Linked DNA regions of Arabidopsis thaliana. The protein of the gene in region 2 purifies or fractionates together with the protein of the main gene of each other region. This does not show direct contact. Each region holds a gene or a part of one and is shown on either strand. Other genes may lie near its edges.

The links. Proteins that work in one complex are often made in the same cells at the same time.
Region 1: the proteins of CAM9 (region 2) and ROC2 purify together in Arabidopsis thaliana (affinity purification with western blotting, with the first as the bait; one study listed by BioGRID). This does not show direct contact.
Region 3: the proteins of CAM9 (region 2) and WRKY53 purify together in Arabidopsis thaliana (affinity purification with western blotting, with the first as the bait; one study listed by BioGRID). This does not show direct contact.

The regions. Positions count from the first base shown.
Region 1 is NC_003074.8:20,805,628-20,810,378, reverse strand, and holds ROC2 (rotamase cyclophilin 2), read left to right. Parts: upstream 1-2,210; 5' UTR 2,211-2,354; exon of another isoform or gene 2,355-2,527; intron 2,528-2,855; 5' UTR 2,856-2,861; coding exon 2,862-3,392; 3' UTR 3,393-3,813; downstream 3,814-4,751. Other genes in the region: AT3G56060 (Glucose-methanol-choline (GMC) oxidoreductase family protein), read left to right, coding at 4,396-4,477, 4,605-4,751. UniProt on the Arabidopsis thaliana protein: PPIases accelerate the folding of proteins. It catalyzes the cis-trans isomerization of proline imidic peptide bonds in oligopeptides.
Region 2 is NC_003074.8:19,267,125-19,271,817, reverse strand, and holds CAM9 (calmodulin 9), read left to right. Parts: upstream 1-2,159; 5' UTR 2,160-2,503; coding exon 2,504-2,579; intron 2,580-2,672; coding exon 2,673-2,833; intron 2,834-2,923; coding exon 2,924-3,001; intron 3,002-3,499; coding exon 3,500-3,640; 3' UTR 3,641-3,867; downstream 3,868-4,693. Other genes in the region: AT3G51930 (Transducin/WD40 repeat-like superfamily protein), read right to left, coding at 1-146. UniProt on the Arabidopsis thaliana protein: Potential calcium sensor.
Region 3 is NC_003075.7:12,391,432-12,396,243, reverse strand, and holds WRKY53 (WRKY family transcription factor), read left to right. Parts: upstream 1-2,261; 5' UTR 2,262-2,504; coding exon 2,505-2,908; intron 2,909-3,007; coding exon 3,008-3,578; 3' UTR 3,579-3,727; coding exon of another isoform or gene 3,728-3,844; 3' UTR 3,845-3,874; downstream 3,875-4,812. Other genes in the region: 3xHMG-box2 (HMG (high mobility group) box protein), read right to left, coding at 3,728-3,844, 3,935-4,019, 4,092-4,177, 4,266-4,436, 4,520-4,585, 4,670-4,775. UniProt on the Arabidopsis thaliana protein: Transcription factor. Interacts specifically with the W box (5'-(T)TGAC[CT]-3'), a frequently occurring elicitor-responsive cis-acting element. May regulate the early events of leaf senescence. Negatively regulates the expression of ESR/ESP.

The DNA of each region.
Region 1 (4,751 bases), 1.5 Mb from region 2:
GATTCTTGTGATAATGTGTCTTTTAACTATAAAGTTTGAAGTATAAATATAATATTTTTCCTTCCATTTGATTCAGTTTTAGTTTTGATTTTTAGAAGACATGGTATGAGTTAAAAAAAAAAGACATGGTATGAGTAAAACGAACTTGAAATTGGGTTTGTTGTTGGGTCCAACGAACCGATTGAATTCAATCGCGGACGGAGTTTATATAATGGGCCTAAATCTTAATATGGGCTTTTTGATCTGTTACTGAAAGTTTTTTCTTTTTTTTTTCTTTTTGGACAACTGTTATTGAAAGCAAAAATGTAAAATAGTGAAATAAGAGGGCAAAACGAAGAAAACATCTCTCTGTCTAAAACAAGCAAATAAATGGAACGAAATCCATACCAAGAACAACATTGACGCCGGGTATATATTTCCGTCAGCAGATTCTCCATCTATGGCTCAAACAAATAGATCCAAAATCAAATGAATATGTTTTGGAAATAAATATTATATTTTGTTTCAATGCAAAATTCCAATGATTTGAAGTGAAGTGATTTGATGAAGGAGTTGAAGTGATTTGAGTTTAGATAAAAATTTAGATGATTTTGACGATTTAAAATTTTAGAGAGTTTTGACAATTTTTTAAAATGACATATAAAATAACACATAAGATTAAAAGAGACATTTACGAATAATATTAAAGACATTGAGTTATTTTATGAAATCAATAATGAAACTAATGAAATGACGATTTGGATAATCACCGGACCATTATATAATTTCATTATTTCAGAATAGTGATTTGGATAATCACCGGATAATTAATACTATTATCTAAGTAAAATAATTATGTGAATTTCAGCATAAACTACTAAAATTGCCATTGTGATTTTTCAAAAATAATTTAAATTTGATTAACTAGATGTTAAAATGAGTAATCGGTTCATGGATTAAATCACTTTATAAAATGATCTACCTCCATCATAACCTATTAGATTGAAAGATAGGTTCAGAGTTTGTGCAAAAAAATCTATAGCATACACATCTGAACTATTTCTCTTTGGTCAAAGAATCCTAAGTCTATTTCTGGTATTAAAGATGACATCCGAAAAGCCCTTTTAAAAAGATATTCAGGAATCAGTATAAGATATTCTGAGGGAAGTCAATCAGAAAATGATATTTGGTTAGCTCTGGTGGTCAATATAATTGAAACCCTCAACAGTCCAACCATAATTGAAAACATTTGTTTTTCCTAATCGATGATTTCCACGTTTTACATTAAAATTGTCTATTTCTAACACTGTAGAGTGATTAGTAGTATAAAGATAGTTTGAACGTCAAATATTATACTACATACTGTTTAGTGCTGACTCTTGTCCACCTTATAAACATCTGAAGTCAAAAGGATGCTGAAGTCATTAGAGTAAATATTGAGAGGAAGAAGTCTTATCGTCGCCCCATTTCACTTATCATTGGGTGAGATCGGTCTTGAAGAAAGAGAGTTAGAGAGGAAAAAGAAGAATCTTATTAGCTCTATAATATCTGATATTGCTTCTCATTTAGTTTTTCACTTTTTACATTAAGATTGGTTGTTTGTAACATTATGGAGTGGTTAATAGTATAAAGATAATCTGAATATTATAATATATAATGTAGAGTCTTGTCCACCTAATAACCATCTCTTCAAAAGCATTGTTCTATGATCTGATTTTTCGGAAAGACTCTGCACTTCTGTTGCACTTCTGTTGTTGGACACTTTCTCTTTGCTAATAAACCACTAACACAAGTCCAAGCGACCAGAGAATCCATTTCTTCTTGTTTTATTAGAGCATTCATAATAAGGCCAAGATTATAAATCATCCGAAAAGCCCAAGTGTCCTATGTAATTTATTTTCCAAAGCTCATTTAATTAGATCTAAGCAACTAGGTTCATATATATATAGTCTCTTGTAATGAACATCAAATAGTTAACTTTGAAAGCAATCTCAAAACATTGAGATTTATGTTGTTAAAGAGCTTATTAAGATAGCAACACGAGATTGAAATTAGATAGCTTATTAAAGCTTTAATTAGCTCACACGAACCAATGTGAAATGGGGTTTGTTGTTGGGTCCAAGTCCAACGAAACGATTATATTTCTTGGATGGTAGTTTTAATAATGGGCCTGAATCATATGGGCTTTTTGATGAGACTGTGACGGTAAGAAAATAAAAAAGGGCAAAACCGAGAAAACAGATCTCTCTGTCTCAACTCAAACAATCAAAAGCCCTAGTAAAACCCTAGCCCCCAAAGCCCTTGTGCCATTGAGCCGTTATATAAATCCTTCACTCGCTCCTTGAGAAGACGAATTTGAGATTGCCTCTGCAAAGGTACTTCATTTCGGTGAACCCAATTCATGTTTTCGATGATTTTTGCTTCTCTATTTCTTCGATTTTGCGTTTTATCGCGTTAAAAGCACATATCGAAGGCTTGCAGATAACGTATAATAAAAAACGCCTGCGAGCTCAATATTTGTGCAATATCCTAAAACCATCCATTTGAGGTTTCGATAAATCTCTGTGTTATAAGAATTTATCTTTTCTTATCGACAATTTCGATGGATGGGACATTTATTAATCGGTTTTATGATTTTTAACATTGTATGAGAAAATCTGAGTCAGATCTGAATAATTGAATCCTTATTCGTCTGCATTGATCGGAAAATAGTACCACTTGGGTTTTATCTAGTTTACTTTAAGGTGCTCATAGAGTGGTAATCTCACAATTGTTGTTGTTTGAACAATTTGGGACCTTTGTTTGCATGATTTAGTCTCTTATATACCAATTAGAATTTGGGACCATCTGCTGATTCATATCTTTGTAATTGACAGAGTAAAATGGCGAATCCTAAAGTCTTCTTCGACATCTTGATTGGTAAGATGAAGGCAGGGCGTGTTGTAATGGAGTTATTTGCAGATGTGACTCCGAGAACAGCTAATAATTTCCGTGCTTTGTGCACTGGGGAGAATGGTATTGGGAAAGCAGGGAAGGCTTTACACTACAAAGGCTCAGCCTTTCACCGTATAATCCCAGGGTTCATGTGTCAAGGTGGAGATTTCACTCGTGGGAATGGAACTGGAGGAGAATCTATTTACGGGTCTAAATTTGAAGATGAGAACTTCAAGTTGAAGCACACTGGTCCAGGGATTTTGTCTATGGCTAACTCTGGTCCCAACACTAATGGTTCTCAGTTCTTCATCTGCACAGAGAAGACTTCGTGGCTTGATGGGAAACATGTTGTTTTCGGGAAAGTTGTTGATGGATACAATGTGGTCAAGGCAATGGAGGATGTTGGCTCTGACATGGGAAATCCTTCTGAACGAGTTGTGATTGAAGATTGTGGTGAGCTCAAGAACCCAAGTTCATAAGTTCTTAAAACATTGGGTGGGTTGATCTTGACAGGTTATTCTATCATATGCTGTGAAGCAGAGACAGCATCTTAGCGTTAAGGTCAATCTAGTCTGTGATGCACTACTTTGGTTTTGACTATATCATATGAACCTTAGGAAGTGGTCCATCCTTGTAAGTTGTTTTCTTAAAACTCTTGTGTGAGAATAGGATGGATGATAATAATGGTTAGTTTCTTTATGAAGACATTTGGTTTTGTAGCTTTCTTATTTTGGTGTAGTTAATATGAATGAACCAAACTCTTCTTAGGACTCATTTGCGAATATGTATCCAAAATTGCTGACTTTTCGAATTGGGCAGATTTCACTTCATATGCAGAACAAGATAAACTTTCTGATCATGTGATGATAAATATTGTTTAGCCAACGCATCACACATTTCTTTGAGTAGTTTCTACTTATGGTTAAGTTTCAGCATCAATAGTCAATAGCCAACAATATTTGGACAGTCTTCTTTAAATACTCCAACAACTAGTTTGCCTTGGCAATTAATGTAACTTAAAGTCTAGCCAACTCTTTGGTATTAGCTTCGTTATTTTATACATTTCTTAAAACCATTTTATTCACATTTCTTGACCACTTGGATTCCAACATAGTGGCCAGCCATGCTGCACCACCTCGTCAAAATTACCACAATAATTTGATTTGGTCAAATCATCATTTTTTTGGAAAACAACAACAAAAAAACTTAAACTTTGTATAATAAGGACCCTGGGGTTAAAAGTATAATTATTACTATGTAACAAATCAAAGTCTAAGATGGAAAATACTATAATCCGTTGACTTAAATGTGCTAGAAAAAATAAAGAGGTCGAAGCCAGGTTATCATCGAATAAGACTTTTGCCGCAACCGTGAGAGATGTTCCTGTTTGTTTTTTCTTTTCTAAATGTTGGTTTATAAATAGCATATTTTTTTTCCTTGGCCCCAATAGATAAAGAACCAAACCTATAATCTTCCTCTATAATGAATTTTCATATCTTTCGATTTTTTCAATTTATCCTCGTCGCAGTTTTCATCTTCCACGACTCGTGTTATTCCGATGAAGGTACGTGAATTTTTAGTTTCCTTTTACCAATCATTCAACTTATGTTTTTTTTTTTTTTTTTTTGTTATACCTTACCTTAGTGTACTAATATGAACTCCAACTTTATGAAAAATATGTTTTCGTGTAGCTGGAAACTATAGATTTATGAAAGATGCAACATTAGCACCAAAGTTATCTCACTTCGACTACATAATCATCGGAGGAGGAACCGCTGGATGTGCATTAGCCGCAACGCTCTCTCAAAACGCAACCGTTCTAGTCCTCGAACGCGGAG
Region 2 (4,693 bases):
CCGGTGATAGGCGGACGGAGAGTGTTGAGGACGAAGCTTTTGGTGGACGCAGATGGGCTGAGAGAACCGTCGGAGTCGTTGCTGTTGCTTGTGGTTGAGGAAGAAGATGAAGACATCAAGACTCCTTCTTGGATTGATCTCACCATCGTATCAAGAGATTCAAGATTTCGTTTCTATTTTGGAACAGAGAAACCAACAAAATTGGAGCGTTTGAGGAAATGTTAAAAAGAGTATTTATTTTTAAAAAGGAGGAGAAGGTGCAACGGCTACATTGACAGGTGGCGTAGCCTCCTTTTTTTGCCTTTTGCTTATCATTTGCGCATTTTCATTAATTCGTGATATATGGCTCATGGAATCTTATAATATATGAAACCACTTCAGGAGCCTTAAATTTAATGTGTGCATATCATAGTAACGGATTGATCATTGTTCTCTTGTTTGACCAGTGATGTTAATTGGACCATATGTGGATACTGTAACGTTAAGGATTATGAAAATCAAGATATAGATATATGTATTTTTCAAGTATACGATATACCAAATTAGTTACGACAAAATGCGAATGAGTTGGTAGTAATGAGTAAACCTCAAAATACTGTTTTTTTTTTGTCAACAAACTTATGTTATTATACTTGGATGACTTAAATAAGCTAAACCGAAAAACATTGTTTAACCTCAAAATACTTATTTAATTAGTTGGTAGCATCGTTACATATTATAATTACGACTACGAGTTAGATTCTCAAATAATATTCCCAAATGGATATATTTACATCGATTGATGCATGCTTATTTGTAGTGATCGTCCCTTATGTATATTATGTTTTTATTTTATTTTTTGAACATAGTATAATATTGGTGGGAGAAGACAAAAATAAGGGAGCTCTGCCATCTAATACGGGAATCAAGATATCTGTTTTACATCAAACAAAGACTAGTGTGATGAAATGAAAGTTAAGTTAACAACAATAAAAAACAAAATTAGCTGAAAATGTAATCAAATGAGAGATCCGAATCCGATCTCCGCTAAGTAAAGCGTAGTGGGAGCGTAAATTCGCGTGAGTCTGATTCTGAATCGTATCATACATACCAAATCAAACATTAACGTTTATGATCTTACTTACCCATATCTTATTTCTTAATTTGTTTGGTTGTTTGTAAATGAGAAATACACTATGATAAGAGAAGAAGATCTAAATGAGGCATAGATCTCTAGATACCAAAACAGATAACGCCACCAACTAACATCCAATTAAGGATATATAACACGGCATCTCCCTCTTTAGTAAGCTTACGACCAAAGTAGTGTGACTAGTGCGGAACATTTTTGCAGTTAATACTACTTAGCCTCAATTCTTAATTATGACCGTATGGGACAGGGTAGGTAGGCACAAAGCGGATATTGTTTTTAATATATTTGCATCGAATTTGGTTTGTTGGATCGATAATCTTTTAATATGTATCCGCTTTTGAACTAGTCTATTCTCCGATTGTAGAATGAAACATCTATCCGAAATTCTAATTTGTAGTATTAGTGATTTGTTTTGTTTTTAACAGTATTTTAATATTTGTTTAAATTTGTAAACTTATGGTTATCCAGACTTTTTGAATCATTCAAAAGTGGAAAACAGATCGAATGGAAGTATAGAACACTACAATATATTTTCATATTTTTCTTAGCCGTAAGCCACTAATATTGGATGGACATAAACATAAGAGACCCCACAATATTTATCAGATTAAGCCTTTATTCACATTACAATGTTTCGTTCTCAACTTCTCATCATAACGTGAATAAAAGTAGGAGTTAGAATTAGAACACAACATCTCTAACAAATCTCTTATCTGCATTGCTTTGGAGAGACATGTTTGTACAAGAAGAAAAATGTTTATGGTCAGTCCGTTTTTTTCATATTGATTACCTTTTAAATCCCATTTGGTATTAAAAAAAACCCACTTCTAAGATATGTTTCGCTTTTTATGGTAACAAGACATATAACTTTTCAAAGTTACTGAATGGAATTCTTGACAGAAGTTGTTAGGACACTAAATAATGGAAAATCAAAATCAAGGGTTACATTAGAGACACGCGTACATCAATTATTTCTTAAAATGCAACTTGGTGTACGACTTTTAATTCTTGAGTCCTCAAACCCGAGCATTACTCCACCCTTTCTTTTCGCAATAATCAAGATCCTAATTTAATTCCCTATAAGTATTTTTTCTAATAACTATGAAAATAAAGAAAAATAAGCGTTGAAGTCATAAGTTTGAACAAAGACGCGTGACCTGGAATCGTGCTCAAGAAAAAATATCACAACTAATGAAAACGCAAGGTCATGAGTATTGACCTTGACCGGGCAAGAGCCTAGAGCCAAGAGGTGATGTGTACTTAAATGTGATAGATGCTCCCTTCTTCTTCTCTCATCACTAACAAATTAAGAGAAGCTGATCATCAGATTGAATCAAAGACAGACTTTGACTTTTCTTTGTGATCGAAGATATGGCGGATGCTTTCACAGATGAACAGATCCAAGAGTTTTACGAAGCCTTCTGTCTCATAGACAAAGATTCCGATGGTCTGCTTTGTTCTCTCTCTTTCTTGTTCGATTTGATACACAAATTTATTCAGAATCGATCGGTTTGATGATGTTATGATGCATGTGAAACAGGGTTCATCACGAAGGAGAAGCTAACGAAAGTGATGAAGTCGATGGGGAAGAATCCAAAGGCGGAACAACTGCAACAGATGATGAGCGATGTTGACATCTTTGGCAACGGTGGCATCACTTTTGATGATTTCTTGTATATTATGGCTCAAAACACTTCTCAGGTAAAATATATATACACACTTAAAACCGTTTAGTTATAGTAAAGATTGATAATTGTAGAGAAAAGTTAATAATGAAAAAATTGGTTGTAGGAATCAGCATCGGATGAGTTAATTGAGGTATTCAGAGTGTTCGACAGAGACGGAGATGGTCTCATATCTCAACTTGAGGTAAATAAATTGTCTAACTATTTACCAAATAGTACATTGTCCTGACATGGAAACAATAAAAAACGAGTTACATACATATATAATAAGATTAAGTGATCATGTAGATGGATATAACGAAAGAAGAGAAATTACTAAATGTTACTTTTTTGAAGACCTTGTTATTATTATCTTTATAATCTACTATCATTCACTCATTACAACACAAATTTTTGTCGCCATAAGAAACTCCATTGCTCATATGGTCTTGTTTTTTTTTTCTCAAACCGACACGGCGACAACACAACAATCGAGAGACACATAGTCACATACTACTTGAAAAATACTTCGTTATCTGAATTAAAAAGATTTATATTCAAAAATAATGCAAAAAAGATTGGTCATTTAACTTGGTCAAATGGTTATTAGCTTACTTTTATAATATAAGCCATTCTCTTAACTCTTAAGTCTTAACTATAGTTTATTTAGCCATTTCTCCTAATTTCTATAAACGAAATGCAGTTGGGAGAAGGAATGAAGGACATGGGGATGAAGATAACAGCAGAAGAAGCGGAGCATATGGTCCGAGAAGCCGACCTTGATGGCGATGGTTTTCTTTCTTTCCACGAATTCTCTAAAATGATGATTGCTGCCTCTTATTAGCATTTTGTGAAATGCCATGATTTAAGAGTTTGTTTTTGCACAATTACAACTATATTTCAATATGTTACTATATTTTCCCAACATATAATTAAAGTGTGTGTTACTGAATCAATGATTTTTTTCGGTCGATAAAAAACTATAATATTTTTCCTATCCAAAATTCGAACCAAACCAAACCAAACCAAAAGTATTGTTCTGTTTTAAACATATGTTTTTTAAACCGGAAAATCCAAACCGAACTAAACCGAGAGTAATTATCTGACTCGGTCACTCGACGGTAGCGTGCCACAATTGAACTGGTGGTCGATCCTTAACTTCCATCTTCAATCCTTGCAAAACCCTAATGAAGAAGCAGTCTGAAGAACCAAAAATCAGTGGTTTTTTAATAAGTAAATGGTGAGAAAATCTGTTGAACTGTCGAATTTGTTTATAACCTATCAGCTTTGCTATAAATTGTTTGTTCCAAATTCCAATTCAAGTCCCCATCATTGAAGGTTAAGTAGCTTTGCTTTTTTGTCTGCCGACGGTTGTTGTAGAAATTTATGATGTTCTTGATGCTTGTCACTTTCACTCATATTGAGATCTGTCTCTCGATTCATGTTTCTTCATCACAGTGGACACAAAATGACCTAGAAGCTGAGATAGTATATTTACATTGAGTAGAGCAATTTAGTACTTGCAATATTCGTTTTAGTAGTGTCTAAAAAAGATAAGGCTTTGGTTGAACTCCATTCTAAAACCCTTACGACTGATTGAGCAAGAATCTTTACATTGATTATAGCTTTGTTTCCGTGGAAAAGTTTCTACAGTCCAGCCATGCAAACAAGGCGATGGCAACATAGGAAGGAGATAGGAGATTGATTAGATTTTTTTTTTGTCAATCAACAACTAGCTGCTGTAGAAGAAACTTTAGATCAGAAAACAGAACAGCTAATCACTGCTAAAGAGTTTTCCTCTTCTTTGTCATGAGACATTCCACCATCTTGTGGATTCTTGATCTTTGTAGCAATCTTCTTGCTCATAGTTGTCTTTGCTCTCATTTTAAAGTTATTT
Region 3 (4,812 bases), on a different chromosome or scaffold from region 2:
CATTATCTTGTGAGCTGATTCAAAGATTTCAAGAGTTATGTTTTGGATGCAAATATGTCAAATTACATAATTTCAGCTGATTCTATGAAGTGTAAATACAAATTTAGGGTGCAAAGTGCCAAGATTCATTTTATAAGGATGAATGATGAATGAGATCCAAATAATAATAATAATACAATGAATGAATGACGCAAAAGAGAGTGACGCCATTATAAAAATTAAAATATCATTTGGAGTACTAAAACTAGAAAACAAAAAAGAATGATAAAAGGGAAAATCCACGCGGAGAGAGGTTTGAAATGTCTTCGGTCCAATCCTGTCCTTTTGAATATTGATTTTCTTTTTGATTTTTCTTGCTTTTTATTAATCAACAAATCTGTTTTTTGGAATTACGTTTTTTCTACGTTGAAGTGATTTTTTTTCCTTTTGTAAAAGGCCTACGTTGAAGTAAAATTACATAAATAAATGTATGTTATGAATATCGACCCAAAAAACAAATTATTTCTACACTATACTTTGCGCAAATCAAATCTATCGAAAACGATTTTGGTAATCCCATTCCCATGAGTGAGTTTTGACCCAAAACAAATTTAAAAAAGTAACCATTTCATTAGTAAAACGGTAAATATGGTTCATAAACCTTTTAGTGGTTATTGGTCCTGTACACTACACTCGTGTGTGTCAACTTCAGCTATGAGATTTTTGCTGTAACTTTTTGGATAACGGTTCAATTATTACAAAGGTTATTTCTTACGTATGAGAGGTCCAAATTACAATTGAATAATATTTGATGACATACAAAGTTAAAAAGGATTAATCATAAGAAATGAATGTTGGAATGGAATGCATCTATCGATCTGACTACTTTAGATAGCTTGATGTTGGACTTAGTCAGCAAAGACCTTATCATACTCTTGTTGTATTGTATATATCGTATCACACAGTGACTGGTTTTTTCTACTTTTCTCTTTGGAACATATCAATCATTATGTATAAATAAATTTTGTCCAAATTAATGGCCATTTGTCTCAACCATAAATAAATATTTATTCACACACCTATATGACTATTTGAGATAATTCCATGGTGACTTGGTCAGCAAAAACCTTGTCATACTCTTGGTGTATTATCACATAACTTTGTAGATTATATTCTTATGGAACATATCATATATATTTGTCCAAATTAAACCCATTTGTATTATTTTCCCCTCTCGAGTTTAATATTTCTTATTTAGAAACAGTTAACAACTTGACATAGCTCACATAATCACTCACAGACTATATATGTATAAGCAACTACCATTTTAAATATTATTTAGTTATATTGTTAGACTGCAACTATTATTTATTTTCTTTGCCAAACAAATTTATATTTTTTCATGTTAATACAATATTATATCTTGAACAAATGTATGCTTAAATATATTGACACAAAACAAAAACATATAGGGGTTTTTAGGAAGAAATTTTGTACAGATTAATTAATCCTCATCAGATTTTTATTTTATATCTTATTTTTAGAAGTGTATGATTTTAAAACTAGAACAATCAAATCTTAGTAAATTTCATTCAACATAATTTTTATGTTATTGCTAATCTATTGAATGTTAATAAGAATTGTATTATACCAAATTACCAATATGTGTTTTGATACTTGTACTTAAAACAGAATGTGGAATATCCTTTCCCTTATTAATGATATTAAACATCATTACAATTCATAGTTATAGCAATGAAATATTATCCATAGAAAGGTTGTTGCATAATGCATACTAGTAAAGCATCAACCAACATATTTTGAAAATATTCTTAATCAAATAAAAAACATATATTGGAAATTCTTTAACAGTAGAAAAAAACATATAATAATAGAGAATCTTAATCACATGTACAAAGTCGTAGTTTTGAAAGTGTACATTGAAAGAGACAGTTGTATAACCCTTTGTTGTCTAATTATATAATTAACCCACTATAGTTAAATAAATGATAAACTTGGTTACAACTACATTAACAAAATTGAAATGTTGAATTGGTCAGCCTTTGACCTTATACTCTTTCACTACCACCACCCCACTTATCAATTACACTCTGGCCCTATACTTCCTTATACCAAAGACTTTTCTTCAATTTGAAAGTTTTGTCTCTCTTTTAAAAAGAAATAAAATAATTATTTATGGTTTGGTCATTTGGTCAAATTTTCAAACACTGAAAATCCAATGCCTTTATATACCAAACCAACACTCATCCATTTTTATCACCAATCCTATAACACTCTCATTCTCATCATATCATTCTTCAATCTATATAACCCATTCTTAATTATACTCAACACACATTATATTTTTCTGATCATATCATTCTTTCAGTCCATCTATATAACCAATTCTTGATTTATACTTAAAACACACATTATACATCTTTCTCATCATAGTTTGTATCAATTTCCTAGAGTAAACTACCTAAAGGAAAAAAAAAATCTATTTTGGGAATCATATACTAAAAATGGAAGGAAGAGATATGTTAAGTTGGGAGCAAAAGACATTGCTAAGCGAGCTTATCAATGGATTTGATGCGGCCAAAAAGCTTCAGGCACGACTTAGAGAAGCTCCGTCGCCGTCGTCATCATTTTCATCACCGGCGACGGCTGTTGCTGAGACTAACGAGATTCTGGTGAAGCAGATAGTTTCTTCCTACGAGAGATCTCTTCTTCTGCTAAACTGGTCATCCTCACCGAGCGTACAACTTATTCCGACGCCGGTTACTGTAGTCCCGGTGGCAAATCCCGGCAGTGTTCCAGAATCTCCGGCATCGATAAACGGAAGTCCGAGAAGTGAAGAGTTTGCCGATGGAGGAGGTTCTAGCGAGAGTCATCATCGCCAAGATTACATTTTCAATTCAAAGAAAAGGTAACAAATTGTTGATATCTTTTTTCACAATTCACCAAATTGAATTTAAAAATCTCATTTTTTCTAGAAACTAATTTGAAATTTGGGTAATTTTTGCAGAAAGATGTTACCAAAGTGGTCAGAAAAAGTGAGAATAAGCCCAGAGAGAGGCTTAGAAGGACCTCAAGATGATGTCTTTAGCTGGAGAAAATATGGTCAAAAAGACATTTTAGGCGCCAAATTCCCAAGGAGTTATTACAGATGCACACATCGTAGCACACAAAACTGTTGGGCAACGAAACAAGTCCAGAGATCAGACGGGGATGCTACGGTTTTCGAAGTGACGTACAGAGGAACACACACTTGTTCGCAGGCGATCACAAGAACACCACCATTAGCCTCGCCGGAGAAGCGACAAGACACCAGAGTCAAACCAGCCATTACCCAAAAGCCAAAGGATATTCTCGAGAGTCTTAAATCCAACTTAACCGTTCGAACCGATGGGCTTGATGATGGTAAAGACGTTTTCTCGTTCCCTGATACGCCGCCGTTTTACAATTACGGAACTATCAACGGCGAGTTCGGCCACGTGGAGAGTTCTCCGATCTTCGACGTTGTTGACTGGTTCAATCCAACGGTCGAGATTGACACAACTTTCCCCGCGTTTTTACACGAGTCGATTTATTATTAATTAAAATTTGTAACAGAGAAATAGATAGTAACTAGTAAGTAATGATCAGCGAGAGTTAAAACATAAAAGTACTTAGAGTAATCTAACGATGCATAATAAGGAATGTTCAACAGGACTTGAACATGATTTCAATACTAAGAGAGATTTATCTAGCTACTGGTAGTAGCCGCAGACTTCTTGTTGTAAGCTTCCACTTCCTTTTTGTATGCTTCCATCAGTTTTGCGGCCTTTCCGTTGTAAACTTGCTTCTCTTCTTCACTCAATTCCTGCAAAGACGTATTCGCACAGATAGATTAACAACAGGAAATTGTTACAAGCCAATGTGTTTTGTTGCTAGTAATTGTGATTTTTCATACCTTCCATTTCAGTGAAATGAGAGCAGTAACAGTAGCGTTGTTTGTCCCGGGACGTTCTTCTGTCAATTTCTTCCTTTCGTCCTTGCTGTAAAAACATGATAAGTTAGGAACTTTCTATAAAGACCAATTCGGATTATAACTTGAAGTAAGTTCATACCTGAAGAGAAAGTATGAAGAAGCAGGCTTCTTTGGTTTGTTAGGGTCAACGTTTTCGTTCTTCTTCTTCTTGGTCGCCTTCTCCTTCTGCAAGAGACAAATAATTATGATCCTGTGAGTCTCTGAGTTGAAATAGACCTTGGTGAGTTAAGTGTGAGTGAGAGAGAGTTATTACCTTGATCAGATTATCAGTTTTCTCCTTCTTCTTAAGCATTTGAAGAGCTTCTTGTTTGTGGAGTTTCAAGAGTTCCTCTTCTTCTTTCTTCTGACTCAGGGCTTCTTCTTCCTTTGTCCTCTTGTATTCCTCCATTGCTTGCAGGTATGTCTCCTTGTTCTTCTTTGCCACCTATTTAAACAAGAATACCTCAATCATTCAGTCTTAAGTCTTTAATGGCAGTGAAATGCAAGCATATTTGTATGGAAACAGACCTTCTCGTAGGGTGCCTTTTTCTTGTCTGACAAGTTCTTCCACTCCTCTCCAGTGATCTTTGCGACCTATAACCACATTTAAACTCCATAAGTTAGCTTCACAATTTGACAAAAACTGATCTGGAGAACGAATTAAGTAATTAGATTTACCTCCACGACGCTTTTGTTTTCTTCGCGTAAAGCAGCTCTCCTCTCGTTTGCATAAACAAGGAAGGCAGATACGGGATGTTTTGGCTTCAGAGGGTCCTTCTCCTTCCTGCAAACCATAAACAGCTCTAGTTAGTTTACTATTG